Rattus norvegicus: one gene and its partners. The protein of the gene in region 3 purifies or fractionates together with the protein of the main gene of each other region. This does not show direct contact. Links are inferred from orthologs where the notes say so. Each region holds a gene or a part of one and is shown on either strand. Other genes may lie near its edges. The genes, in order: Plk1, Vangl1, Dvl2, Peli2, Csnk1d, Vangl2 and Sqstm1.

What was found.
Region 1: the proteins of Dvl2 (region 3) and Plk1 purify together in Homo sapiens (affinity purification with mass spectrometry; 6 studies listed by BioGRID and IntAct, with this or other methods). This does not show direct contact. The link is inferred for Rattus norvegicus from reciprocal best matches to the Homo sapiens genes DVL2 and PLK1.
Region 2: the proteins of Dvl2 (region 3) and Vangl1 purify together in Homo sapiens (affinity purification with mass spectrometry; 4 studies listed by BioGRID and IntAct, with this or other methods). This does not show direct contact. The link is inferred for Rattus norvegicus from reciprocal best matches to the Homo sapiens genes DVL2 and VANGL1.
Region 4: the proteins of Dvl2 (region 3) and Peli2 purify together in Homo sapiens (affinity purification with western blotting; 3 studies listed by BioGRID, with this or other methods). This does not show direct contact. The link is inferred for Rattus norvegicus from reciprocal best matches to the Homo sapiens genes DVL2 and PELI2.
Region 5: the proteins of Dvl2 (region 3) and Csnk1d purify together in Homo sapiens (affinity purification with mass spectrometry; 3 studies listed by BioGRID and IntAct, with this or other methods). This does not show direct contact. The link is inferred for Rattus norvegicus from reciprocal best matches to the Homo sapiens genes DVL2 and CSNK1D.
Region 6: the proteins of Dvl2 (region 3) and Vangl2 purify together in Homo sapiens (affinity purification with mass spectrometry; 4 studies listed by BioGRID and IntAct, with this or other methods). This does not show direct contact. The link is inferred for Rattus norvegicus from reciprocal best matches to the Homo sapiens genes DVL2 and VANGL2.
Region 7: the proteins of Dvl2 (region 3) and Sqstm1 purify together in Homo sapiens (affinity purification with western blotting; 3 studies listed by BioGRID, with this or other methods). This does not show direct contact. The link is inferred for Rattus norvegicus from reciprocal best matches to the Homo sapiens genes DVL2 and SQSTM1.

What each region holds. Positions count from the first base shown.
Region 1 is NC_086019.1:186,146,525-186,150,457, forward strand, and holds the start of Plk1 (serine/threonine-protein kinase PLK1), read left to right. Parts: upstream 1-1,133; 5' UTR 1,134-1,217; coding exon 1,218-1,625; intron 1,626-2,173; coding exon 2,174-2,342; intron 2,343-3,087; coding exon 3,088-3,232; intron 3,233-3,873; coding exon 3,874-3,933. UniProt on the Homo sapiens protein: Serine/threonine-protein kinase that performs several important functions throughout M phase of the cell cycle, including the regulation of centrosome maturation and spindle assembly, the removal of cohesins from chromosome arms, the inactivation of anaphase-promoting complex/cyclosome (APC/C) inhibitors, and the regulation of mitotic exit and cytokinesis.
Region 2 is NC_086020.1:192,284,599-192,288,098, forward strand, and holds part of Vangl1 (vang-like protein 1), read right to left. Parts: intron 2,473-3,500; coding exon 2,339-2,472; intron 1,374-2,338; coding exon of another isoform or gene 1,335-1,373; intron 1,031-1,334; coding exon 898-1,030; intron 1-897.
Region 3 is NC_086028.1:55,225,286-55,228,645, reverse strand, and holds part of Dvl2 (segment polarity protein dishevelled homolog DVL-2), read right to left. Parts: intron 2,369-3,360; coding exon 2,299-2,368; intron 2,024-2,298; coding exon 1,878-2,023; intron 1,770-1,877; coding exon 1,660-1,769; intron 1,543-1,659; coding exon 1,407-1,542; intron 1,258-1,406; coding exon 1,167-1,257; intron 1,050-1,166; coding exon 980-1,049; intron 895-979; coding exon 755-894; intron 677-754; coding exon 600-676; intron 1-599.
Region 4 is NC_086033.1:24,005,484-24,008,983, reverse strand, and holds part of Peli2 (E3 ubiquitin-protein ligase pellino homolog 2), read right to left. Parts: intron 2,339-3,500; coding exon 2,144-2,338; intron 482-2,143; coding exon 293-481; intron 1-292. UniProt on the Homo sapiens protein: E3 ubiquitin ligase catalyzing the covalent attachment of ubiquitin moieties onto substrate proteins. Involved in the TLR and IL-1 signaling pathways via interaction with the complex containing IRAK kinases and TRAF6.
Region 5 is NC_086028.1:106,751,889-106,755,946, forward strand, and holds the start of Csnk1d (casein kinase I isoform delta), read right to left. Parts: upstream 2,801-4,058; 5' UTR 2,752-2,800; coding exon 2,676-2,751; exon of another isoform or gene 1-2,675. UniProt on the Homo sapiens protein: Essential serine/threonine-protein kinase that regulates diverse cellular growth and survival processes including Wnt signaling, DNA repair and circadian rhythms. It can phosphorylate a large number of proteins.
Region 6 is NC_086031.1:86,997,771-87,001,270, forward strand, and holds the end of Vangl2 (vang-like protein 2), read right to left. Parts: intron 2,600-3,500; coding exon 2,368-2,599; intron 1,068-2,367; coding exon 807-1,067; 3' UTR 150-806; downstream 1-149. UniProt on the Homo sapiens protein: Involved in the control of early morphogenesis and patterning of both axial midline structures and the development of neural plate. Plays a role in the regulation of planar cell polarity, particularly in the orientation of stereociliary bundles in the cochlea.
Region 7 is NC_086028.1:35,034,951-35,039,221, forward strand, and holds the start of Sqstm1 (sequestosome-1), read right to left. Parts: upstream 2,801-4,271; 5' UTR 2,767-2,800; coding exon 2,568-2,766; intron 610-2,567; coding exon 514-609; intron 273-513; coding exon 46-272; intron 1-45. UniProt on the Homo sapiens protein: Molecular adapter required for selective macroautophagy (aggrephagy) by acting as a bridge between polyubiquitinated proteins and autophagosomes.

The DNA of each region.
Region 1 (3,933 bases), on a different chromosome or scaffold from region 3:
AGCTTGGGCTTATTCAGAAAGCATTTAGTACAATCGTTTGCAAGGCACTGGGAAAGACAGCAGCACTGCCGTTTTTGCTCAATCCAGCAATAGGATCTTGCTAAGACCCTCCTGGGGAACTAGAGGAACACAGCTTCTAACGGAAGGTATCACTAAAGTGCCCACAGAAACCAGCAGGCAAGTGGGCAAAGAAGATGTCTGGGAATAGTGGCCAGAGTTGACTTTTTTTTTTTTTTCCAGGAAAAGCCACACACCTGCTCTGTGTGGCCACTCTTTTTACATGTTGTAAATCCATTTATTTTCTAAATGAAGGCCGAACTGAACACTTCTGCAGGGCCGACTTGGGTCTAACCACCACCCCCACCTCTGACTAAAAGTTGTCTCTATTTGGGGCTTTGGGCCACACAGCTGAGGACAAGCTTGTATCCCAGGGCGGACGTCTGGTGTTTCTTACATGTCATCTGAATCATCTGAAAGTCTTGTTTGACTGGCAGGTCATGCCTGGAAAGTTTCTTTCCTTTGGGGTTAGCGGAGAGGTAGCTGAAGCTGACCTAGGCTAATCTGTAGTCTTGAACCCACGCCTCTCCTTTGCCTTCCTCGGTAATTCCCAGGTGCTGCAGATGCTACTGGCCCCTGGGTTGTTCAGACGAAGGCTTGAGCTACATTTCAGGGGCTGAGAGCTACTGCCACAGAGGCTGCCGGTCGGTTGCGCTGTGAAGGTGCATCTGCCTGCTAGTCGTGCCAGTGGTGGCGGTGCACTCCCAAGCTACCTCTTGACCTGGAGTTTCAGTTCTAGAAGGCCAGGTCGGGCGGAGGAAGGTGTTAGATCTTAATAGTTAGGAGAAGCCTCTGGAGGAGGCGCAGGTGAACCACATGAGCACGCCCCGGCCGAGGAGCAGAAAGCAGGACCGAATCCTGTTCTCCTAGGGATCTCTACCTAGTTCATTCGTTCCTGGTTTCCCAGGCAATCTAGAGTGCACTCTATCCTCCAGTACAAATTTCTCGCCCGCAAGATCGGGGTTTAAAGGCGGCTGCGCCGTAGAGCACTCCCATGGTGCCGCGCGCTGGGCGGGTTTGTATTTTAAATCCCCGCGGCCAATCAGCAACGCGCAGGCCCTTGTAACGTTCCCAGCGCTGCGTTTGAATTCGGGGAGGAGCGGAGCAGAGCAGGATCCTCTGCACCTACCCGGCCAGGTCCGTGGAGCAACATCGGCATCATGAATGCAGCGGCCAAAGCTGGAAAGCTGGCTCGAGCACCAGCCGACCTAGGGAAAGGTGGGGTCCCGGGAGACGCAGCTCCCGGTGCCCCAGGGGCCGCCCCGCTGGCGAAAGAGATTCCGGAGGTCCTGATGGATCCACGCAGCCGGCGGCAGTATGTACGGGGCCGCTTTCTGGGTAAAGGAGGCTTCGCCAAATGCTTCGAAATCTCAGACTCAGACACAAAAGAGGTGTTCGCAGGCAAGATCGTGCCTAAGTCTTTGCTGCTCAAGCCCCATCAGAAGGAGAAAATGTCTATGGAGATCTCCATTCACCGCAGCCTCGCACACCAGCACGTCGTAGGCTTCCATGGCTTTTTTGAGGACAGCGACTTTGTGTTCGTGGTTTTGGAGCTCTGTCGCAGGAGGGTAAGTGTTTCTGGGGCTCCTACACCTGGAACTTGCTGGCAAAGTGGCACCGAGGTTTTGGAGTGGCCTAGAGGAGTGTTTGGGTTTTATTTAAGCTGTTATGGAAAGGCTTCTAGCGACGGTACTTGGCACTCCGGATCCTGTTGCTATTAGTGAAGGGGCTCCTAGACGCAAGGCTGTGAGTGGGTACAGGAAATGGATGCGTAAATTGGCTAAGGAAGGGTTCCAGGCTTGAGGTGCCGAGGATCTCGAACTTCCGGAGTGAGGCAAGGTCGGGGGAGGGGGCGGCTGTTTGGAGTCAGACCTTAGAGCTTTCAGGAAAGGGAGGGGATCTCCTGCCAGGAGGAAGCCCTGGGATAGGGGATCGAGAGTGGGGTTGAGAGAAGACTCTGTATAAGGGCACTAGTTAAGAGGGTCCGGTGAATGATAGTGACGAGTTTATGGGCAGAGCTATCAGAAACCTGCCAAAACTCTCCACTCCGAGCGCCTAGTTGGCCATATTAAGCTGGCCACCCTACTTGGGCCTCAGTGACCTCTTTCCTCCTCAGTCTCTCCTGGAGCTGCACAAAAGGAGGAAGGCGCTGACCGAGCCCGAGGCCCGATACTACCTGCGGCAGATAGTCCTGGGTTGCCAGTACCTGCACCGCAATCAAGTCATTCACAGGGACCTCAAACTGGGCAACCTCTTTCTGAATGAGGATCTGGAGGTGAAAATAGGTGAGGTGCTGGGCCTGCGGGTGCCTGTGCCAGCCAGCACAAGAGTCGGGAAGGAGGGGAAGGCTGGGAGGAGGGAAAGAGAAGTGCTGCCCTCTGGAAAGGAAATGGAGGGGGGTGTTGCCTTTTTTAGATACATTGCTGTGCCTCAACTCAGTAGTTTTGAACTTGGGGTGCCTCCCCAAATACTCTTTATCCCCTAGCATTGAGCCAGACCCTCAGCCAATTTCTTTTTTAAACAGGAGATGGGGGACATAAGCTATAGGGCATGGCAGGCGGTATCTCCTCAGCTGTCCCCTTGAGTCTGACTTGCCAGTCCCTAGATCCCTGTCACTTCTTCACACACTTGCTCAGCAGCAATCACGAGATCACTTACTTGATTCTCCAGTGCATTTAACTTTATTTATATGAGGGATGGAGACAGGTTAACTTCAAGGAGTCCGTTCTCTCTTCCACTGTGTGGGTTCCAGGATCCTGACTCAGGTCATCATCAGCCTTGGCGGCAAGCCCCTTTACCTCCTGAGCCATGTTACCTAACCTTAACCCTGCTATCTAAAGAGGGGTTAAAGGGCAGTGGGAGGCCAGCTAGGGCCAGTACAGTGTGTGTGTGTGGGGGGGGGGGGGTGTTCCGGGACTATGGGGGTCTCAAGCCACTAAGTTGTCAATGCTCAGGCTTGAAACAGCTGTTTGCAACCTTAGACAGCTGATCTAAGTAGCTGAGCACCCTCTCTTCTTCCCTCTGTCCCAGGGGATTTTGGCCTGGCAACAAAAGTGGAATATGAAGGGGAACGGAAGAAGACCCTGTGTGGCACTCCTAACTACATAGCTCCCGAGGTGCTGAGCAAGAAGGGACACAGCTTTGAGGTGGACGTGTGGTCCATTGGGTGCATCATGTAAGTTGGCAATGAACTTGGGCTTCTGGGCCTCAGCAGGAGTCTCTGGGGCATCTCACCCAGTTGACCTTACCAAGTGGATCTTTCTACCTTACAGAAAGGCTGTTTTAGAGGACAGGCTGCCCCACATGAAACCCTGGTTTTCATGTCAGTCTGGCATAGGCTGTGGGGATCCCTGTAACTTGGACTTGTTTAAAAGCAGTCATAGACCAAAATCATCAACACCTGAGAGCTTGTTAGGAATTCAGAATCTGAGATCTGAACCTGGGTTTAATACAATCCCTGCCTGATTTTCCATGAAAATCAGGAAGCCCTGCTGAGTGCTGATGGGAGAGTTAGGCCAGCAGATAGTCTGGTGGTAAGCAGAACCCCCACCATGGTGGCCTCTGGAACCCTTGGAGAGTCCTCTGTCACTGCAGGCCAGAGCCAGGCAATCCCTGACACCTCGGAATCCAGGTGTTTTCACTTGCATTCTTCCTAGTGCTTGCCCAGCCTTTGGTTGCTGGGCAGACTTGGAGAGCATCCCATCCTTTCCCAGTCAGTGAATCCAGCACAGCTTCCCCAACTCTGGTCCCAAGACAATGACTTCTACATTTGGATTTTCCTTGGAGTTTGAACAGAATTCCTCCTTGTATCCCCAGGTATACCTTGCTGGTGGGCAAGCCACCTTTTGAGACCTCATGCCTAAAAGAGACCTACCT
Region 2 (3,500 bases), on a different chromosome or scaffold from region 3:
GGTGGCAGATGGTTTGTTCAGTACCGCCAGACCTGGGGCCAGTCCCCAGCCCCACACGGTGACGCATGCCTGTGCTCCAGCACTCAGAAGGTGAAGGCGGGCTGACAGGATGGGTCAGGGTAAGGGTGCTTGGGCTAAACCTGACAACCTGAATTTGACCTCTGGAGGCCATGTGGTAGAAGACAAAGAACCAATCCCCAAAAGTCACACTTTCCACATATTCACTGTGGCATACATGGATGTGAACACGGACATACACATATACACACACATGTACACACACACACACACACAGAGATGTTTAAAAAAGGTTTTTTTTTTTAAAAAGTTCAATATTATCTTCAGTTATACAGAGCATTCAAAGCCTTGTTGGGCGGAAGAAAGAAAGAAAGAAAGAAAGAAAGAAAGAAAGAAAGAAAGAAAGAAAGAAGAAGCAAACAGAGTTTCAGCCCCCTTGTTCCACCTTTCCCCAACCCTCCCCCCAGCAACTCAGGAAAAGGAAGAATGAGGTGGCAGGCTTAAGGGAAGCCACCTTTGTCACCTTCAGTTCCCATGGGAAAGAGTATGGGTAGGGCTGGCCCCCTCCAAGGGCAGCAACAGAAGCCCCCAGGGAATTCGTTCCCACCCCCAACATACCCTCCCATCCACTACCACCACCCCCGGGGCTCAGACCCACAGACTGTGCGGTAAGCTTTGTGAGTGGGCCCAGGACCTGTGATGGCTGTTTAGAGCTGGTGATTTCATACAAAGTCTTAGAAACGTCAGAGTAAAGTGGTCTGTAAACAGTCATACAGGTCATGCGTACAAACAGAAAATTAATTCTGGAAGCTAAAAGAAAAAAAAAGTGAAAATAAAATGTCCAGCGGGAGGAGGGCCCAGGCGTGCAGGGTCACAAACCTCGCTCTCCGCTTCTTCACCCTCCGCTCGTGTTCGGCCTCTTCATAATACAACTCGTTGTGGCTGGAGTCCCTGCGCCGAGCTGCTGCAGCGATCATGGCTCGGGACTGACCAGTGGCATTGTTACTGGGCCCTTTGATGAAAGGAGAATACAGACAGCTTTACCCTCAAACGCCAGGAAGCTGGACAGAGAACCAGCACCAGGGTCTGTGGTCTGCTGGTTCTTTCCCACCCATCCCGCTACAGAGCACACAGAGATCTTAAAAGTAACTTCCCTGGGCCTGCGCAGTACTCCACAATCACAGCAGCCAGGAGCTCTAACCCCAGTCTGATAGGGAGATGGAGAAAGAACTCTGAAGGAGCCACAGACTGCTCACCCCTGAAAACACCGGCCAAGAACAACACCCGCCGGGGAGCGTGCTGAAGAGGTCACTTACCATCTGCTACACAAAGTTTCAGTTTGGCCATAAGGGCAGCTGGGACATCGCATGCAGCAGACAATGAGAGAGAATGGGCAGGATGGGAGAACAAGGACAGACAGAGAAAAAAGAAGTCAAGGGACACTTACAGTGATCACACACAGGAAAACAAGCTAAGCCGGGTGTTACTGCCCCGAACACCAAAGCCCAGCAACCACAATGCACCCCATTTGTGAAACGGCCCAGAGGTCCTGAGCATGACTCGGCTTAGCCTATCGCAGAGACACAGCCAGGGCCTAATTCTTTCTTCTGGGTGACTTGGTAAGCTAAGTTTTCCCATTAAGGGTTTGGCTTATCAGCTATACACCTTACATAGCCAAATTTGGAAAAAAAAGTTAGACGGGATACCATTACCAAAAACTGACACCTATGTAAACCAGCTGACTTGTTGACAACACGAATGTCTTCAGGAGTCTGCAAAGCTCTTGTCTTAGCCAAGGTGCCCAGCAAGACGTGACAGGGAGTCCTGTTTCTCACACTTGAGCACCCGACACCCTGAATGAATCTGGGCTCCGACTTGGTGAGGCTGGCTCCAGCTTCTGGTTGTCATTCAACTCCCGTTCCGAGCCAGGACTGAGAAGCCACAGAGGAGCTCCCAGTTATGGGAGCTCTCAACATTTCTAGGCCTAATGCCCTTTGAGAGCACCCTCAGTCTTTGGGTAGACTGTTCAGACTTTGAAAAGTGTTCCTTTCCTAAGGACCTTCAATCTACACCGTTCCTAGCGGGAGGCAGGAAACACAGCTACAGGTTCCAATAGCAAAATCTCCAAATGGATGGACCTGCCATATATGCAGACTGTAAACTGACATTCCCCTAGAAAACATGCTTGTCTACATTTAAACTACAAATAGAAATTGTTCTGAAGCGAGAAAAGACTGTAAGGAAGCACAGAGTAGGTAGAAGCGAATGTACTAAAAGGATCTGTGACCCCCACACCCCACAAATGGTTTCAAGCACATACCATCTACATTGTAGACTTTCAGGCCAGCCATGTGCTTGGCTGCTCGGAATTTGGATGCTGTTAGGAGGTTCGGGTTATAGATAGTGAAGTCCTTGTAGTAATTTTCCAGAACCACCAAGGCTGCTCGCTGGATGCTGTGAGATGAGGGCAAACATGAATGCGGGGTTTTCAGGGAATACAGTGGGGCTGAAATGAGAAGTCTATTTGAGTCAGGTCAATTGTAAATCAAGGTAGCACTCCCAGGGGCATCTGCTGGTTCCTACCCTCCCCATGTCTCCCACTGTTAATGGCTTCCTCCCCTCTCCCAGGCTCTGGCATTCCCCTCATACCATCCTGCCAGTAGCTGGAAGAGGAGAAAGTTACAACCTGTAACTGAGATTTAGGTTTGGGGTACACAGAGCTTTTCCTGTTTGTCCCTTAGTTTACAAAAAAGAAGAGGAGGAGGAAGAGAGGGAAGAGGAAGAGGAGGGAGAAAAAGGGAGGAGAGGAGGAGGAAAGAGAAGAAGAAGAGGAGGAGGAGGAGGAGGAGGAAGGGGGAGCAGAAGAGGAAAATGAAGAGGAAGAGGAAGAAGGAGGAAGAGGAGGAAGAAAAAGGAAGGAAGGAAATTAAGAAGCCCCTTCCCTGAAAGGTAGGAAGTTTGATGTTGCTCACAGGGATCAAGAATGAGAGGTCGGGCTGGAGAGATGGCTCAGTGGTTAAGAGCACCCGACTGCTCTTCCAGAGGTCATGAGTTCAATTCCCAGCAACCACATGGTGGCTCACAACCATCTGTAAAGAGATCTGATGCCCCCTTCTGGTGTATCTGAAGACAGCTACAGTGTACTTATATATATAATAAATAAAATAAATCTTAAAAAAAAAAAGAATGAGAGGTCAAAGCTTCTCATTACACACACACACACACACACACACACACACACACACACACACACACAGAGGACCCTGTCCCAGGTCTAAGGAACTGGTCTCTCATGTTACAGCAATGTTCTCCCTATGGGGCAGAGTCCTTCAAATGAGGCTTCAGCTAAGATATTCCGAGTCTTAAGATCCTCAGGAGCTCCCATCCTTCAAATGCTGTCTGGGACACTCAGCAGGTGAGAACTCTAAGCTACCATTTTGGAGCCCAGGTGATAATCCATACCCAAGGAGCATGCTGGGAGC
Region 3 (3,360 bases):
CAGCTCATTCACAGGAAGCCTCAAACAGGTAACACCACACCATCTTGTTCCAGGACTCAGGCATGGGTGGAAAACCATTAAAGGTTTTCTTGACCAAAGAAGCCAAGACGGTAATTACCGTCAGTGAGGAGGGTGGGAGTGGAAAGGAGCACACAGTGGGTGGCCTTTTCTGAGGTACTCACCCACACCTGTTTCATGCTTTAGTTTGAAGTGACATGCCATCGAGATTTGCAATTTTGGGAGGTTTTTTGTTTTGTTTTTAAAGACTTATTTATCTTATGTATACGAGTACACTATAGCTATCTTCACACACATCAGAAGAGGGCATCAGATCCCATTACAGATGGTTGTGAACCACCATGTGGTTGCTGGGATTTGATCTTAAGACCTTTAGAAAAGCAGTCAGTGCTCTTAACCCCTGAGCCATCTCTATAGCACTGGTTTTTTGTTGTTTTTTTTCTCCACTATGTAGACCTAGCTGGTCTGGAACTCACTATGTAAATCAGGCTGTCCCAAGCTTAGAAAGCCCAACTCTGCCTGGAGTAACATAGTCTGTGTACAATGTCGAGGCCTAAGGAGCAGACGCAGCACAGACTTACCCTGGCTTGTGTACAATGTCTCTCAGCACCCGCACAGCATCGTCATTGCTCATGTTCTCAAAGTTCATGTCGTTTACCTGCAAGGAAGGGCAGTGGGTCACAGGCAGTGTGCAACAGGCAGAGCCTCTGCCCAAGCCAGCTGCCAGTCAACACACCTGCAAAAGCATGTCTCCAGGCTCGATCCGCCCATCTGCAGCCACCGCTCCCCCTTTCATGATGGAGCCTATATAGATGCCTCCGTCACCACGCTCGTTACTTTGGCCCACAATGGAGATACCCAGGAAGTTGTATTTCTCTGTGGAGGGAGGCCATATGAGGGGACTGAGCCCCAGAAACCCTGAGACCCTCTCCTTCCCATCTGCCATCAGGACCCTCCATACCCATGTTGAGTGTGACTGTGATGATGTTGAGAGACATTGTAGAATCTGTGACACTGCTGAAGGATGAGGTCTGCAGAAAGAAGACAGGGAAGATGTGAACTGCTCCCCATCAACAGAGACATAAGCCACAAGCCTGTGTCAGAGGGCCAGCTAAAGTAAAGCCTACTTCTCCCAAAAGAACCCTCACCCTCTCCATGCGTGGCGGCCGCTGCTTCCTTCGCCTTCGGTGGCGCTTGAGGAGGCGGGAGGCACTGCTCTGCTCAGTGGAGCTGCTGAACCTGATAGCAATTGAGAGAGAAGCAGAGCATTTGGGGGTGGAAGTGGTCAGGGAGTCACAGGAAACAAGAAGATTGGCTAGGAAGGAGGGAGGACAAGGGGCGAGCGCCTCGGGCGAGGGCGGGCAGAGGAGAGATGTGTGAAGCCATACCTACTCATGCTGTCATCCTCATCTGAATCTCCTAAGCTGGTACTTTCCAGTTCGCTGGTCATGAGGGTGGAAGAGCTCTCATACCCAGCCAGGTGGCGCTCCAGCCTTGAGGGGACGCCAGGCCTGTGGCCACCAGCTGTGTATAAACAAACGTGTCAGGAGCCAGGCCTCCCATTCTTCATGCTCGGCATGCTGAGGCTTGCCTCCCTGCCCAGCTCACAGTCTACCCTGCCTCCAGGGCCTGACCCCTCACCGCCATGCTCACTGCTGTCTCTCCTCCTAGGTCGGTCTCGTCTCAGTGATACGACGGATTCAGTTTCTGTCTCAGGCTCTAGATTTTCATGGCTACTGGATACATTAGGGCTACACAGGTAGAGAGAGTTTCAACCAAAGTCAGAAGGACAGAGCACCGGATCCTCAGTCTCCCCTCTTCGCTCCCCTCCCCTGGATTCAAAACCGTAAAAGACTCACTGGAAGGATGGAGGCCTTGAGTCCCCAATGCCACTGGTCCTTTCTGGTGGCAAAGGGGGTAATGGTGGAGGTGGAGGAACCAGTTCTGTCCGAGACTCATGGGCAGGGGGCGCTGTCTCAGGCTGGGGGCTCTCTGATGACACCAGCTAGGGGAGTGTAAGTGAGAAAACATGGCTCCACTGGGAAGTGCTTTACGAGAAAAGAGTAAAGGAAGAGGACCAGAAAGAAAGGGAACAGGGTCCCAGAGACCTGGGCCAGTATGCGAGGCTACAGGAAGAAAAGGCTGAGGAATGCTCACTGCATCCACAAGTAGAAAAGAGGGAAGCCAGGGCCACCAGTGACTGAGCATGCGGGGGTGGGGGTGTGTGGGGTGTGCCGAGATAGACTGAGGTTGGAAGCAGCTTGGTAACGAGTCCCTTACCCAGGAGACAACCCTTCCATTGAAGCAAGGTAGGCGGGCACTGTCGTCAGAGATCTCTTCCTTCACCACCCTGCAGAGAGAGAAGAGCCATTACTAAGAGCCAGGTGTGATAGGGTACACCTTCAACTCTAACACATGGGAGGCCGAGGCAGGAGGCACTCAGTGAGCCAGGGTTTTACACACACACACACACACACACACACACACACACACACACACACACACACACACACACAGAAGCTGGATGGTGGTGGCACGTGCCTTTAATTTCAGCATTCTGGAAGAAGAAGTAGGTAACCTGAGTTTGAGGCCAGCCTAGTTTACAGAGAGAGAGAGTACCAGGACAGCCAGGGCGCCACAAAGAAACCCTGTCTCAAAAAACAGGGAGAGGGGATTAGTAAGGCTAAACTGGTCACCCCCATTCCGAATCTCATTCCAAGTCTCTCCCAATCTCCATCCAGTCCAAGCACAGCAGAGTTAGTGTGTGTGTGTGTGTGTGTGTGTGTGAGAGAGAGAGAGAGAGAGAGAGAGAGAGCCAGCGAGCTGTATCCCTGAGAGAGAGAGAGAGAGAGAGAGAGAGAGAGAGAGAGAGCCAGCGAGCTGTATCCCTGGTTGGCCTCAAACTCATAGAGATCTGCCTGCCTCTGCCTCTCCATCCTGGTATTAAAGGCATATGTCACCAAAACTAGCTATGCCGCATGGCTAGCATGCCTCACCATGCCTGGCTCCTCTGCTTTTACAGTGAAGTAATCCCAGACTCTCCTTATTTTATCCCAAGACCCCCTCCTCCCCCACTCATCTGTAGAGGCACAGTGCCGCTAAAAAGACTTCTTCCCATTTGATCCAAACCTCATAGTACCACTCCAAATTCCCTCTGGGACAGTTCCCAACAACTGCTCCAGATACCTAACTTAGGAGTCTGGCTGGCAGGCAGCCTAACCGTCTCTGTCCTACACATCTGTCCCATAAAAGCCTCTGGTCCTCATGTAATCTGCTGCTGTTCCTCTGCATTTTAGTTCTCTCTAATTCACATCCAGAACCTGCCCAAATGTGTGGCTTTTG
Region 4 (3,500 bases), on a different chromosome or scaffold from region 3:
TCTGGCTTAGTACAGTATCATGGGGAACGATGAATTCTGCAGTGATAAACACGATTAACGACTGTCTTCTCACGGCGGCCGGGAGTGAAAAATAACACACGTGCACACAGAAATGGCCAGCTACGAGGAGAGGACAGCCGGACCCCTCCAACTCTCCGGAGCTCAGGGGATCGTTTCTGGATCAGAAAATGGCACCTCCTACCCCACACGAAGGTTCTGAGCGTTATCAGCGGGGAAGCGATGGGCACCATGAAGTGCCTGCGTGCATTTTCCAGAGCGGAGCCCAACTCACCAGCTTCCCCCTCTGCTGGGCCGACCTGGTCTCCCTCAAGGTGTACACGTCTCCACAGACGGAGATCTCTCTCCAGACTCCGGGCTGGGACTCATCCGTGAAGCCTCCTCTTGGGTGCATTACCAGGACGCCGTTGGTGGTGAGTCCGTCCATGTGCCCGCCAGGGTTTTTCCACTTTGCCGCCTTCTCCTGGGGAACGACACCACAGACCAGAGTAAGCTTGCTAAGGGAACGCACGGAGCCTCCTAAAATACAGGGAAAGCCAGTCGGCCATAGTGGTGCGCGCCTTTCATCCTAGCACTTGGGAGTCGGAAACAGGTGGTTCTCTGAGTTCGAGGCCAGCCTGGCCCACAGAACGAGTGAGTTACAGGACTGCCGGGGCCACACAGAGAAACACTGCATTGAGAAACAAAGTTCCCTGAAAAGGTGGGAGAGAGGTGAGGGACTTTACTCTCTATTTAAAGCTGATAAGCGGAGTGCAGTGTGCTGGTACGATGCCAGGAGAGGTGTTAAACTGTTTGAGGCGGAAAGGTTCATCTCTGGCCACGCATGACACTCTCCTCGGGAGTTTAAACATACCTGGTACCTGACCTCCTCACTGAGGGATTCTCCTCCCCTGTGTCGAGCCTGGCATCTAAGCCTCCACTCCCTTTCTTTGGCCTCACTTCTGCCTGCTCTCACCCAGGGACCTACAACTGTTTTACATACACTCGAGATCTGGATACAGAAAGAAACAATATTCTTCAATTTTATTAAAGGTTCAAAATTAAAACAAAAAATGTTAAGCCAGTAATGTGGGGGCCGGTGTGTTTCCACGCAAATGGCTGTGCCTGTCCCCAGGGCGGACAGTGATGGGACAGACTGCTCCGGCTTCTGTGCTGCTTTGACGCCCCTCCTGCTTCCGGGACCATGAGGCAGGGCAAGGGGATCAAAGCCCTGCTTAGTACAAACCCATCAGAGCAGTCCCAGGCTCCCTAAGACCCCGGACCACTGATGTCCGAAAGCTCAGGAGAGGGTGGCACACTCAGAAGCAGACCTCCCTCTCCTCTCAAAGCCCAAGTGGCTGGTGTGCCGGCAGAGACAGTGGGCAAGACACAGAAAACAAGGCCCAAGATGTCACAGGACCGCGACATCATCCTGTGCTGGACTGGCCTTCCACGGCACTTCCTGTCATGTTATCCTTTAGGTCACAATGGACAATTACTCCCTGCAACAATATTCTGATTCTAGAGGTATTTGTATCAAGGCAGGATAGTCACTAAAGCTTTTGGGGTTTGTTTATCAAGATACCCCACGAGGGAAGGGCTTTCTCTTTGTTACGACATACCACATACAGGACGGGATACAGCAAACACTCGCCTTTCTGTGAACAGTTAGTTCACTGACAGTTTCTTTCCTTCCAGCTCTAAGGAGTTAAAATTTAGCAGCTCATTTTCCCCTTTGAAATAAACCTCTCAAATTCACCGCAAATGTGTTATACATAATGCTAACATACACGCCTTTAAAATAATTACTGTGTACATTATAACTTATACCGCAAACACAACAACAACGACGGAGTAATCTATGGATCTTCTTTTCACTGAGGCGGCATCTCTCTATGCTGTACAGGCTGGCCTTGAACTTATAACCCTCCCGCTTCTTTCTCCCGAGGGCTGGGTGCATGTGGCCAGGCTTCAAATTATCCTCAGGTCTTTACCGCAGCCTTCTCGGGCTGAAAACTAAAACTTAAAAAAAAAATAAATAAAAAATCTAACTACAGCCTCCATACAAAGCAAATTCCCCCCAAAGTAAGTTCCTATCACAGTAGTGGATGTGAGCCTGAAACCAGAGTACAGTCACAGTACTTACGCCGAGGAATATATTTTTGGAAGAATCGAACCCTGCTGCGAATATGCGTGCTGTGTATGGCTCGTTCCTGTCGCACACGATCCTGCAGGCAAACCTAGAGATGGTGCTCTGTGTGATCTGGGCATCGTCGTTCTGACCGCCGGAAACCGTGTCTGTGACCACGAAGTCGATGGGACTTTCTGTTGACCTGCCCACCTGAAGGAACCAAACATTCTCATGACGCGCATGAAAAAACGTTGCGTTCACAGGGACAGAGGCCCAGAACCCTGTCACCTTCATCATCTCCGCTTAACCATGCCCTTTCTTGTTACTGGAGAGAGAATTTATGGTAGACGGCAACCAGATCTCTTTTAAAACTCCACTTCATTTTATCCTACTATGGACAGTGAGTGAGATCTCCACGCCCCCGCCTCGCCCCACATGCCCTGTGTGTTTTGTGTGCAGACCGACACGCACACAGAGGCCAGAACCCAACTAAGGCTGTCATCGTCAAAGATGCCGTCTACCTCCTGAGACGCTCTCATTGCCTGCTGTTCCCCAGTCTGGCATGGCGGCCTGTGAGCCAGCAGCAGTGAGCCTCCTGTTTCTGCCCCCGGCACTGAGATTACACACATCACTTCACTACCCTTGGTAGAGAGGTGAGTAGCTTACCGACTGAGCTCTCTCCTCAGCCTGAGACGGACATATATAAACACGCAGGACTACAGGTATTATGCTATAGCCTAGACTCCCTGGTCTTACTCATTTTGTATACTGCAACGTTATGTCTGTTAGTCTACCCATTTTAAATATCACGAGAAAGCTCAACTTTCTATTCTTGGAGAATGATGTTGGATTTTCTATCTCGGATCCACTTGGAAATATTTTTACAGCCAATCACTCTTGGTTTTCTATTTTAGGTGGTCTCAAACCTTTAGAGGAACAAAGGAACTGTGCTTGCTGGATTCCGTGAGTCAGAGCCCTTGACTTAAACACAGACCTGCAGGAACAAAGCCCTTCTTACTCTGAGACAGAGGGACAAAGCTGCCATCACTCAGTCAACCTAAGAACAGGGGATGGGCGCTTATCCTAGTCAGTCTAGAGCTCAGAATATGAGTGAAAAAATTTAAAAAGCGCTTCTTAGAAATTCATGAATGGATTAAAAAGAAACTTCTCCGGGGAAGTCTAAACGTTGCTACCAATATCACAGTGTCTTCCTTTCCTTGGTGAGACGTCAACACTGCCAAGAGATTGAATTTTAAGAGAATCTTAAGAGTTCTAACAGGGCCTTTCCCGTTCAGTAGATTCCACCTTCCCCTGTGAACTAGAAGACACGTTTGCTTATGGGTTGGAAAATCCTCAGGATGGGATATTAAAC
Region 5 (4,058 bases), about 52 Mb from region 3:
GAAGAATAAAGTGCCTTATGAGGAATACCAAAGAGGAGTTTTAGGAATATTTTTCAACTACACTTGCACCAGAATGCATGTCACACAGACTTCAAGATGAGGATCCAACTCCACTCATACTCACGTGGCTCTTGACCTATGTATGGTATGGGTGAGCCAACCCATCCGCTGTCTTCAGGTCCTCTGTCTCCAATTGTCTTGCAGACCTGCTTTTCTAGCCTATCTTACTCTGAATCGCTCAGTTCATGCTCAGTTCCCCAAGGTAGCTTGAAAGGACAGTGATGAGAGCCAAGTGGAAAGAGAGAAGACTGGCAGTGCCTAATCCCTGACAGAAAGCACACTGTGAGGCCAGCATGTTGGCACACAGCACTCACAAGGTAGATCTCTGAGTTCAAGGCCAGCCAGTGCTACATAGTAAGACCATGTCTTAAACAAAACAACAACAAAACTCATACCATAACAGATAAGCCAGTGACTCTAACCCTAACCCAGTGTCCATCTTGGAGCATAACAGAGGAGTCACCAAATTAAAACTTTCTGGAAAAGGTTAGCTCACATGATCAGCTGCTGTGCCCAGGCCTATGTCTAAGCCAGCCACCACCTACACACTGTAGAAGACCCTGCCCAGGATGTGTATTCGCTGGTTCAAGACAGTCTTTCAGCCCTTTGTCCTGTCCCTGGCGTCCCCCTGCTCCGGATGGAGGTGATTTTTTTCTTTCTCTTTTTTAGGGCTGTAGGAACCAGGTGGGGCAGAAGGGATGTGACTGAGTAAGGTGCAACCCCAGACACAGCTTGCACTCTCCTGGAGAAGGATTTACATCTCTGAACGACACATGACCACCATAGCACAAATGGTTGTTAGAACCAATCTTCAGAAAGAACAAAACCTTTTGGCAAAATCTCAGGGAACAAAAAGTTTCAAAATACCTATTTTCTAATGCCCACGAAAGGGTGGCTAATGGATTGGTTTTCAGTATAGCTCCTATATCCTGAGGTTAAACTTCTGCCAAAATCTATTGTTCTAAAAATAAGTCAAACAGCTCCAATTTACCCAGCACTTTTGACTCCCAAACACTGCCGAGAAGGCATCTGGCTGACTCCTTGGATATAAATATTTAAGTAAGCAAACCCTAAGTCTCTCTAAAGCATATTTTACTCATCAGACCACTCTGGCAAGAAGTTCAGGTTCAAAGGCATTGATGTAGCACATCGCAGGGTTAGCCTAACCAGGCACCATACGTACTTATGAGCTACCCAAATGGGACAGTTGCTCACCCAACACGGCCAGCTACCAAGGTCCTAAGAGGAGTTAGAGTACAAGCTGTTAAACTTGGGAAGCTTGAAAGGTGAGGCCCAAAGCATTGCTTCTTACTGACTCTCCATTAGAGATACAACAGCCAAACAAATGCTGGAGATGGGCTACTGTTCAACAGAACACGGTTACCTCTAACAGGATGTTCACCACCAGAAAGCTCCAAGTACCAAGGGGCTTTGGAATAACTTATAATTCTAATAAATGCAGGGGGTAGTTTAAAAATCCCAACTACCGGGTTTAAGCAAACCTTTAATCACACGTATATACATGCATAGCCTTTCACCATATTAAGGTGGACATAACCCAGGATAGTTTAACCCCAAGTCTAGGATTCTCATGTCTACCTTTAGAGTTCTGAAAGCCGCCATGAGAACTTTCACACCGCTTGTCTCCCCTCTATTCTGCCAACATCTTGACACTGAATGTATCTGCATTAATCAAAACTTCATTCCTGTTGATTTCCAGGTGTCCAGGAGTCAACTTAGATGCTCAACATATCCTGAAGACCCCAGCCAAACCAAGGCCTTTCAGGCCAGGCACAGGGAACATTTTCAGTCCTGTTTTGGAGTTAAGGTGGCAACCAGGAGGCTATGGGTGATCCCTTCAGCGGGTCAGCTAACTGGAGATACCATTGTGGAAAAGGGCAGGCCCAGACAGCCCCAAGAACTCTTAGAAATCAGCCGGTCATTTCCCCATTTCTGACTGGGACACTCCCCACCTCCACACTACATTTGGATTGTTTTGACATCTCTCCCACACGCAGGAAAACATCCAGGACCACACTGCAGGGATGAGGAACAGTACCAGACCCTTTTTCAGAGTAGAGCATGGCCTTTGTTTACCGCGGTGACCTTAGGTGGGGGAGGATGCTGACGCCCGGCCCAGGCCCTGCCCCTCCGAGCCCCACCCTCAGCGCGATGCCTTCCCTTGCCCCGCTCTCCCCTCCCCCTCCTCGCTGCCCCCCGGCCCAGGCCCGCTGTCCTTTTCCCACGCCCTCTGACACCCCACAACCTCTGGCCAAGGCCCGCTGCCCCCCGCCTCTAGGCCTTGTTCTTCCTCTCCCGGGTCCCCGACCACTCCCCAGACACGCTCCGAGCTCTTCACCCACGGTCCTGCAGTCCCCAAGCCCAGCTGTCCCCCAGCCCTTCCCCGCACCCCACCCGACCTGCCGCGCCCAGCCCCCCGGCCGCGCTCGCACAGCGGCCGTTGGTGTCTGGCCACGGCCAGTGGCCGGGCCCTCGGACTGCGGAGATGCCGAGCGGCCGAGTGTCCACTACGGCCCTGCGCAGGCCTCGGCCTGCCGGGGACCCCGCCCGCCGACCCGCAAGACTCCCCGGTGCTCGATGGCGCTGGGCCTCACCGAGATAGATGTCTCCGAAGGAGCCGCTGCCGATCTTGCGGCCCAGTCGGTACCTGTTCCCGACCCTCAGCTCCATGGCAGCGGTGCGGCTCGCTACTGCCCGCCCGGCCGCTTCCTGGGTCTGCGCTCCGGGAGGCGGCGCCGCTGCTGCCGCTACTGCGGGTCCGGTCCGACTCCGCCCCCCTCACGGCCCCGCTTTCACCATCGCTTTCTGGTCGCCCCGTCGCTCTCAGCGCCTCAATACGGGGCGGATGGGACAGTCCGAGCGCCGCCGCCGCTGCTCCGGCCCCTGCCGGCCCCGCTCGCCCTCTCCCCGCCGCGGATGGACTCGGATCTTCCGGGCCTAAATCCCCCTTCAGCTGCCTAAAGGAGCCGCCGCCATCGCGCTGTGACGTCACTTCCCCTAGCAACCCAAGGGGGCGGGGGCCACCGTGCTCGGGGGCGGGGCTTGGCTACTTGATGGATTGCGCAGTCGCAACCAGGCCTGTTTCTCTGTCCCAGTATCCGCCGTTCCCGAAGGATGACTACAGCTGGTCACTTTGGTCTTCCTATCTGTCTCCAACAGAAGTCTGAGGAAGCTAAGCTATGTGTGGTAAGGAATGCCTGTAGTTCCAGCTCTCGGGAGTTCGAGACCAGCCTGGGGCACAGAGACCCTGACCCCTAAACACACCACGTATACCAAGAAGCCAAACAGCAAGCAGTTTCTTTTGTAAACCCCGGGAAAGGCCCTTTGCAGATAGGGTAACAGGGCAGAGAAGGCGGTCCAGGCAGACCTGGACGATTAGCTTTTGTAGGAATCACCAGTCCTGGGCTTTGAATGGTGCAAAAACGTGCCTGCTGCTGCCTGCCAGCTTCTTACACATCAAGGGTGGAAGTAAAGTAGTCTTCCTGGGACCCCTTCCTGGGTGGGCAGGAAGGTGAATGTTGAATTCACAGAGAGTGTAGAGCGCACGTCCCGACCCTGGTCTCTCTCCAGGGCCATCTGCCTGGAGAACAAGTCAACATTTTTATCTGGTCTGTATTGGATCTGAATGTTCTTCCTGACAAACACAAACATGAATTCTGAAGTTCAGGCCGGAGGCCAGCTTCCAAGACTTGGCTGTCCATTCTGACCACTGGGGAGGGCCTATGGAGGAGCCACCACACAGGAGGTGCACCCTAACCAGGAGGGGACAACCTTCCAAATAGATGCTTCTCTAGGCCCACTCCCACCCAGCTAGGAACAGAAGAGTCATAGATCAAGGGAATGCTTACATTAGAGCTCTCTGCACAGGGTGTAAATCTGCTGTCACCTCAGCACCGCCTGCCTCGTGGGCAAGAGAAGCAGTTCAGCGATTGCCCTGCAGAAACACACGGAGCTCATATGTCTCCTAGTCTCCTGGC
Region 6 (3,500 bases), on a different chromosome or scaffold from region 3:
TCAGAGAGGTTCTACCTCCATTTGCCTATGATCACATGACCATACAAGTCAGAAACAGCAGTAAAGACTCCTGGGTACAAGACCACACTTCCCCTTGTTCTGTGTGTGTGTGTGTGTGTGTGTGTGTGTGTGTGTGTGTGTGTGTGTGTATACCAGGAACTACAGCTGTAACACTGGAGAGCAAGACTACAAGGAGAATCCTAACTCTGGGACTATGTCACAGGTACATTGTGCCCAGAGACTTGGGGCTAAGGGTGAGGATGGGGGACAGCGTTAGCTGCTGTCCCACAGGAATTTGGCACCATGGTTCTCTGGGGTCAGAGCTGTGCCTTCAAGAGAAACCCTATCAGGGGCCACTAGAGAGCATGGCTCTAAGAACATACGTTTATAAGTTGGAGCTCAGGAGGCAAGGGTACAATCAGGAAGGCCCTGAACACGTTTGGAAGGGGCTTCCATCCAGGGAACATTCTGGGGGGAAGAACAGGGGTTTGGGGGTAGTTATTAGGCACTGTTTCCTGCAGGGCCTGGAGTGATACAAAATTAGGGGGCAGGATGGTTCCCAGGTATTGTTAAAGCAAGGTGTTCTCTCCAGATTTCCAGATGGGGAAACTGAGGGATAGGGGAGGAGACTGGGTACAGGATAAGTTAATTCAAGTAAAAAACAAAAAAACAAAAAAAACAAAAAAAACACAAAACAAAGCAAGAGCAAGAGGAAGTAGGATGGCAGAAATGTGTCAGGGCCTGAGAACCAAGCCCCTCCCACTCCGCAGGAACCCCCACATCCCTCCCTCTGGGCTGCTGCAAAGTCACACAGAGGTCTCCGACTGCAGCCGCATGACAAACTTATGTGACTTGGGATCCACGAATTCCTCGGAAAGTTTGAAGAAGGGCACCTTCTTGGTGCTCACCACCAAGCTGAAGTCCTGGCGCTTTAAGAGGAAAACAATGCCGTCCTTAAGCCCATTGGTCACCGGCTCCTCGCTCACCAATGTCCACTGCTTGGCCAGCCAACGTTCCTTGTGGTACTGGATGGTGGGTCCAGCGGCCAGATACCGCTCCAGGAAGGCCTGAGGAGGACAAAAGATACTGTTTTGGTATCTCTTCCACCCATCCACCCTTCATCTGAGACGCAGCTTTCTAAGATAGCTAGGCTGTGTCTGAGCTCATACTGTACACATGAACTAGTATCTTCAAATGTGAGCGCAGAAGAGAGCTGGAGAGACGCTTCACGTATACATGGGGATGCTGACATGCACCGAAGCGATACAGTTCCAGCCAGGACCAGAACTCACGCCATCCTTCGCCCAACTGTGCCCAGGGTAACTTGAACCTCATTTTTCCTTCTCTCCTCCTTCCCTTCCATACAGTTGCCATGACTAGAACCATGCAGGTCTACACTAGGAGGGAAGTGGGCTAAGCAAAGATTCAAGTGCAACACTGTGTGTGTGCGTGCGTGCACGCACAGACACACACACACACACACACGCACGCACATGCACGCACACGCACACACACACATGCACGCACACGCACACACATGCACACACACGCACACACACACACACATGCACGCACACGCACGCGCACACGCACGCGCATACACACATGCACACACACTCACACACACGCACACACGCACATGCACGCACACGCACACACACACGCACACACACATGCACACACATGCGCACACACACACGCACACACATGCACGCACACGCACGCGCACACGCACGCACACACGCACACACACATGCACACACACGCACACACACACGCACACACGCACATGCACGCACACGCACACACACACACGCACACACACGCACACACGCACATGCACGCACACGCGCACACACACACACATGCACGCACACGCACACACACATGCGCACACACACACACACACACACACACACACACACACACACACGTAACTGAAATCAAGAACTCAGGCCTGCCATACCACTGAGCTACATTCTCAGCCTCTCACTCTCTCTATCACCCACTCAACAAAAAAGTCTCCATGAGAGCCATTCTAGGGAGCAGGCAACTGGGCTGAGGAAAGCCAATAGCTAAAAGTAAGCAGAGGTAAAAGCTTCCCTTTGGGGATGAAGGGGTAAGGAAGGTAAAGCTGTAAGACTTGGGTAGAAATCCTAGGGCCTGCTAAAAATGAGAAAACAGGCCTCTGAAATCCCCCAATAGTTCCGAAGTTGGCCCTTGCCTCCTCCTCTGCTCCACAGAGACAAAACAGATGGGATGGGGACAGGAAAAGAGATTCCCAAGAAGAGGCAAAGAACAGGAAGGAGAAAGAGTGGTGAATACGAAAGATTACAAGCAAGGTCTGGGAGCAGCAGGCCTGCCTACCTTGGGTGTCATGTCGTGGGTGATGCAGAACTCCAGGTGCTGAAGGATGCTCTCCATGGTGTGGTAAGGCTGCTGTTTCGTGGTGCGAAGGTACTTCTGCATGGCTCGGGCCATGGATGCAAAGATGGCTTGGGCTGCTTCCCGGGGGTCCATCACCTCCCTGGGGTTCTTCTGCTCCTCTTCCTGCAGCCGCTTAATGTGTGTGAAGGCCTCCTCCACAGCCACCACCAGCCTGGGGGACAGACAGTATCTGGACCAGGTGCCCACTGCTCATCCTACCCTCTACCCACCGGCTCTGACTGCGGCAGCCAGAGTGAGATCAGGCCTCTGTGCTCTCCCGGAAGTAACAGAAGTCCATGTGAAGCCAAGTGCCCAGAGAAGCCCACAAGCAGCAAGAAACAGTCGTACTGAGTGGGATCAGGCTAGGGACTTACAGTGAATGAGCCTAGCATCAAATCCAGAATGGCACTCAGGAACTAAGCTGCAGAAAGGGCCGAGTATCCCATGAGACCTAGGAAAAGGCTCCACACCACACTACACTACACTGTGTGAAAAATGAATACATGTAACTAAAGGGAAAGGGCGTTAGTAGAAGTGGTGGCAGTAGCGTGTTATTTATGTGGGTCGGGGCATGCACACGCCCTCTATGTGGCTTAGAGGAGTCCGTTCTCCCTTTCCAACATATCGGTTCATTCTGGGGATTTGAACTCAGGTCATCAGGCTTGGCAGGGTGCCATGGCATTTCTATTCAGTCGCAATAGCACAGGGGTGCTGACACCTGACTCGGGTGGAAGGATATACGCAGATCAGGCTGGTATACATAGGAAGTTCCAGGCCAGCCAGGGCTAACACTAAGACCCTGTCTCCTCCCCACACCACCCCAAAAAATCCAAGGAGGGACGCAGAGGCAGGCACGTCCCCAGGACCTGGAACCCAGCCAGCTTAGTCTAGCCTACTTGATGAGCTCCAGAGCACTAAAGATACCATCTCAAAAAGCAAAATGGAGGACACCTGAGGGACAACAGCTGAGGTGTTATATCCTATTGGGCCAATATATCCTATTGGGCCTGAAAACCAGTCTTCTCTGTAGGTGGCAAAAGTCAGACAGAGCCGGCTCCTGTTAGAACAAGCCA
Region 7 (4,271 bases), about 20 Mb from region 3:
CCACCCTGTCCGACACCGCCCCAGGACTGCAGAGAACCAGCTCACATCAGAGAGGTGGCCAAAGGGGTTGGGAAAGATGAGCTTGCTGTGCTCCCTGTGCAGGCCCTTCCCCTCGCAGACGCTGCACAGGTCGTAGTCGGGGCACACACTGCACTTATAGCGAGTTCCCACCACAGGCCCATTGCAACCATCACAAATCACGTTGGGGTGCACCATGCTTCGTGCCTCCTGAGCACATGGGGGGCGATGTTCCCGCCGGCACTCCTTCTTCTCTGCAGGGAGAGTCCAAGAGTCCAATTTAGTTGCAGGTAAACCACTTAGGAGGCCAAGAGGTACCAAGCCCTGCTCTGTTCAACACCCATGGCCCACACAGCAGGACCTTTGTACCTCTGACACCTCCCAACCCCCCTATATCCACCCCAAGGCATCAGAACTCATCTCTGTCCTAGAGACAACTCAGACCCCTGAGCCTTAGAGGAAGTCCGATGGGAAGTACCTGGATGCAGTCTTTACCTTTAATGTAGATGCGGAAGATGTCATCTTTCACATAGGACATGGCCATTGTCAGTTCCTCATCACTGGAGAAGGCGACCAAGTCCCCATCCTCATCTAGATTGTTTAGGAAACAACATATCAGAGCCAGGGACACAGCTCATTGGTGGAGCGTGCAGAAGACTTAGGTGCCATTCCCAGAACTAGAAGCCGAAAGGGCAGCACAGGTACCCAGCATCTGCTGGATGCCCACTGCTATGTACAGGGAGCCCAATGGTAAGGGACATCTACAGAGGCTCTAGACGCAATCTGAGTGCTGGAGCAAGCAGCCAGATGGCCACTCATTCTGATATGGCGTGAGTACATGTTCTAACCCAAGTCCTAGATCCGGTACATGCACAAGGCAGAGCATATGTCATGTGTGTAAGGGTCCAGCTTCCTGCCACAAACCACTGGGCCATTTGTGCCCTCAGGCCACACGTAAGTAGGCCAGGTCCATTTTCACCTGGGAGATTCCAGCCAGTACCCTGTCCTGATGGTCCAGCCCTTCAAAGGCCTCAGGCTTCAGAAGGAAAGGAGGTAAGCCCATCTGTCCCCTCCCTTCAACTACGTGACCAGAAACCACTGTGCATTCAGACGCTGTCTAAGTTGTTCTGAGGTTGAGGTTGCTCTGTTGGTTTTGTTTTTGTCAATTCTAGGTTTTCTGCGCCCTGCCTGGCCTGAGACTGCTTAGAACAGGACAGCCTCCAACTTGTGTAGGTGAGCCTCCTTAGTGCTGGGATCACAAACATATGCAACCAAGCTGCCAAGTGGTTTGGGTTTTTTTGGGTTTTTTTTCTTTTTTGCCTTTTGATATTTACTTTTACATATGTATGTACGCACTTGAACACACAGACACACACACACACATACACACATGCACACTTATGTGTATGCATGTGCCACGAAGGCCATAAGAGGGTGTGGGATCCCCAGGAGCTGCAGTTGATATGAGCGCTAGGAACAGAACTTGGGTCCTCTGGAAGAGCAGCAAAGGCTTTAACCACTGAGTCATTTCTCAAACCCATCTGCTTTCATTTTTACATTAGCACACAGGTACTGGGAGCGCAGCCATATATTTCTATGTCAGTACAAACAGTCTTCAACCACCTCATACAGGACAAACCACACATCTGCAGGCTAGGATATATATATATATATACATATATGTGTGTGTGTGTGTGTGTGTGTGTGTGTGTATCAGGCTAGGCTATACACACACACACGTAAAATTTATAAAAAAAAAAAAGATTCTAAACCGAATGTGATAATAGTTATATAACTCACTTTTTAAAAAATGCAAGGAGTTTGGGGGGCGGGGTGGTAGCTCAGTCAGTCGAGAGCCTAACATACATGAGGCCCTAGCACAAAGATGACTCGGAAGGACATTAAGACCTGGGTGAATTGTACTGGACCTAGGTTAAAACTCACTTACACTGAACATTTTTTGTCCAGAATAATCCCTATGATTCCTGCACTGGAAAGCTGAGACAAGAGGATTGAAGTGAGGCCAGCCTAAACCACTCGTAAATTCAAGGCGAATCAGGCTACGTGGCTTTATCTCAGAAAAGAGACAGACTGATCAACCAACCTGGCCTACCCACAGTCCTCCATAAAGAGATCTCAATCTTATCCCCTCCCAGGGGGAGGGCCTTGTCCACTAGTCTCTTGTCAACAACTTCTAGCTCCACCCCATGCAGCCATCAACCACTGCAACGCAAGAGACGGAGCTAGTTCCGGGGTCCCCTACCTCCCTTCCCACGGGCTGCCCCACCCCGCCCCCGCCGCTTATTTACCCGCGTCACTGCTCTCCACCCCTCCTCCACATCTGCCCGGTCCCAGCTCTTCCGGGCCTTTAACTGAACCCATCACCTGATGATACGAGGAGCAAGCGAACCGCGGGATGTCAGCTGTAACCTGAGCGGCCGCCTGACCACCCTGTCCCCGCGGGCAGCCAGAGGACACGCCATCGCGTCCTCGCCCAGACCTGATACTCCGCGGCGGGGGAGGATGGCTTCCCCGCCCCGAGCCCTTACCGCGGTAGTGCGCCTGAAAGCCTCCAGGCCGCAGCGCGGGGAACAGCACAGCCACCCGGCTCAGCAGCCTCTCGCAGGGCCCCGGGCCAGCCGCGGCTTCCGCCTCCGGCTCCGGGCTGAAGCAGAAGCTGAAGCGGCGGATCTCGCGGGCCGCCTCCTCCTTGCCCAGTAGATAGGCCTTCACCGTGAGCGAAGCCATAACCGCAGACTAGGTACGGAGGAAACAGCTGGGCAGCGGCGGCTCCGAGAGCCCAGCTTTTATAGGATACGGGGGGAGCCCCGCCTCGTGGGGGGCGGAACCTCTCTGAGCTCCGCCCCTCCCCGCTGTCCGGGCGGCCGCTCGAGGGCCCTTGATAGGACCCCTGACAGGTATGGGGGCGAGACGCCCCCACCGCCTCCTCTTTTTCTTTCCCTCCGAATGCATGGGTGACCCCAAGAGACCAGCCTCAGTCTCAGTTCGATGGGAAAAGGGCCGGTAAGTATCCGAGCCTAGGCTCCTCCCAGGTTTGGGCCTGCTTATGACTCAGCAGTGTAGTCCCCAAGCCAAGGGGGATGGATGCCCCAGCACAGAGGCTCAGACGACACAGATGCCTACTGTCAGGTAGCCATTCCTTGGCCAAACAAGCTGTTTCACGGGATACTGTTCCAACCCTCCCAAACTTAGTGTCCCCCGTAGTAGCCCTCCACCCTACTCTCTCTTCAGGCATCCACCATGACCAGCCCCTCACTGAATAAAGGGACATCATCCATATGTTAGGCCTGATCCAATTTGACAAAGACTGGATGTTGGACTAGCACTGGTGACTTCTCACAAACCCACCCTGTAGGAGGGGTAGCCAGGGCTCCAGAAACTGCAATAGTCACCACTACTAAGACTGAGATTCCTCACAACAACCCACATAATACACACACACACACACACACACACACACACACACACACCACAGCACACAGGCTCTAAGGGCGGAGGGGAAGGAGCATGTATCTCAGGCCTTAGTGGCTTCAAAGAGCACAAAGGAATCAGACCACTTGCCCTCCAACTAGGAACTAAAATACAGGCTTTAGCCAGTCCTGTGACACAGACTTGTTATCCCAGCTGTTTGAGATGCTGAGGCAAGAGAATACCAAGTTCAGGGTCTGCCTGAGCAGCTTGGTGAAGCTGTTTCAAACTAGAAAGTGATCTGAGTACTTGGGAGGCCAGAGGTTCCGGAGTTCAAAGCCAGCCTTGGCTACAAGAAGCCTCTCAAAAAAAGGGGGGGGGGGGGCAAAATAAAGAGGCTGTCTATGCAGTTTAGTTAGGATACAACTCATGGGGATTTAGCTTAGCATGGATATACTCAGGGAGATTTAGCTTAGTAGGGATACAGGTCATGGGAATTTAGCTTAGCATGGATATACCCAGGGGGATTTTAGCTTAGTAGGGACACAGTTCATGAGGATTTAGCTTAGCATGGATATACCCAGGGGGACACCACTAATGGGGATTTGGTGCATAAGGATTTGGTGCTCAGTGACAGAGTACCTGCCTGGTATATGTCACATCTTAGGTTCAACCCTCAGCACGAAGGCCAAAACCAGGAAATGCTGCTTTCTGTGGCAAAAGTGACCTGTTAGCTAGCATGATGACACACATCTGTAATCCCAGCACTTGGGAAGCTGAGTCAGGAGGAATTCAAATTGAAGGCTAGGCCCAGGCTTGCATAG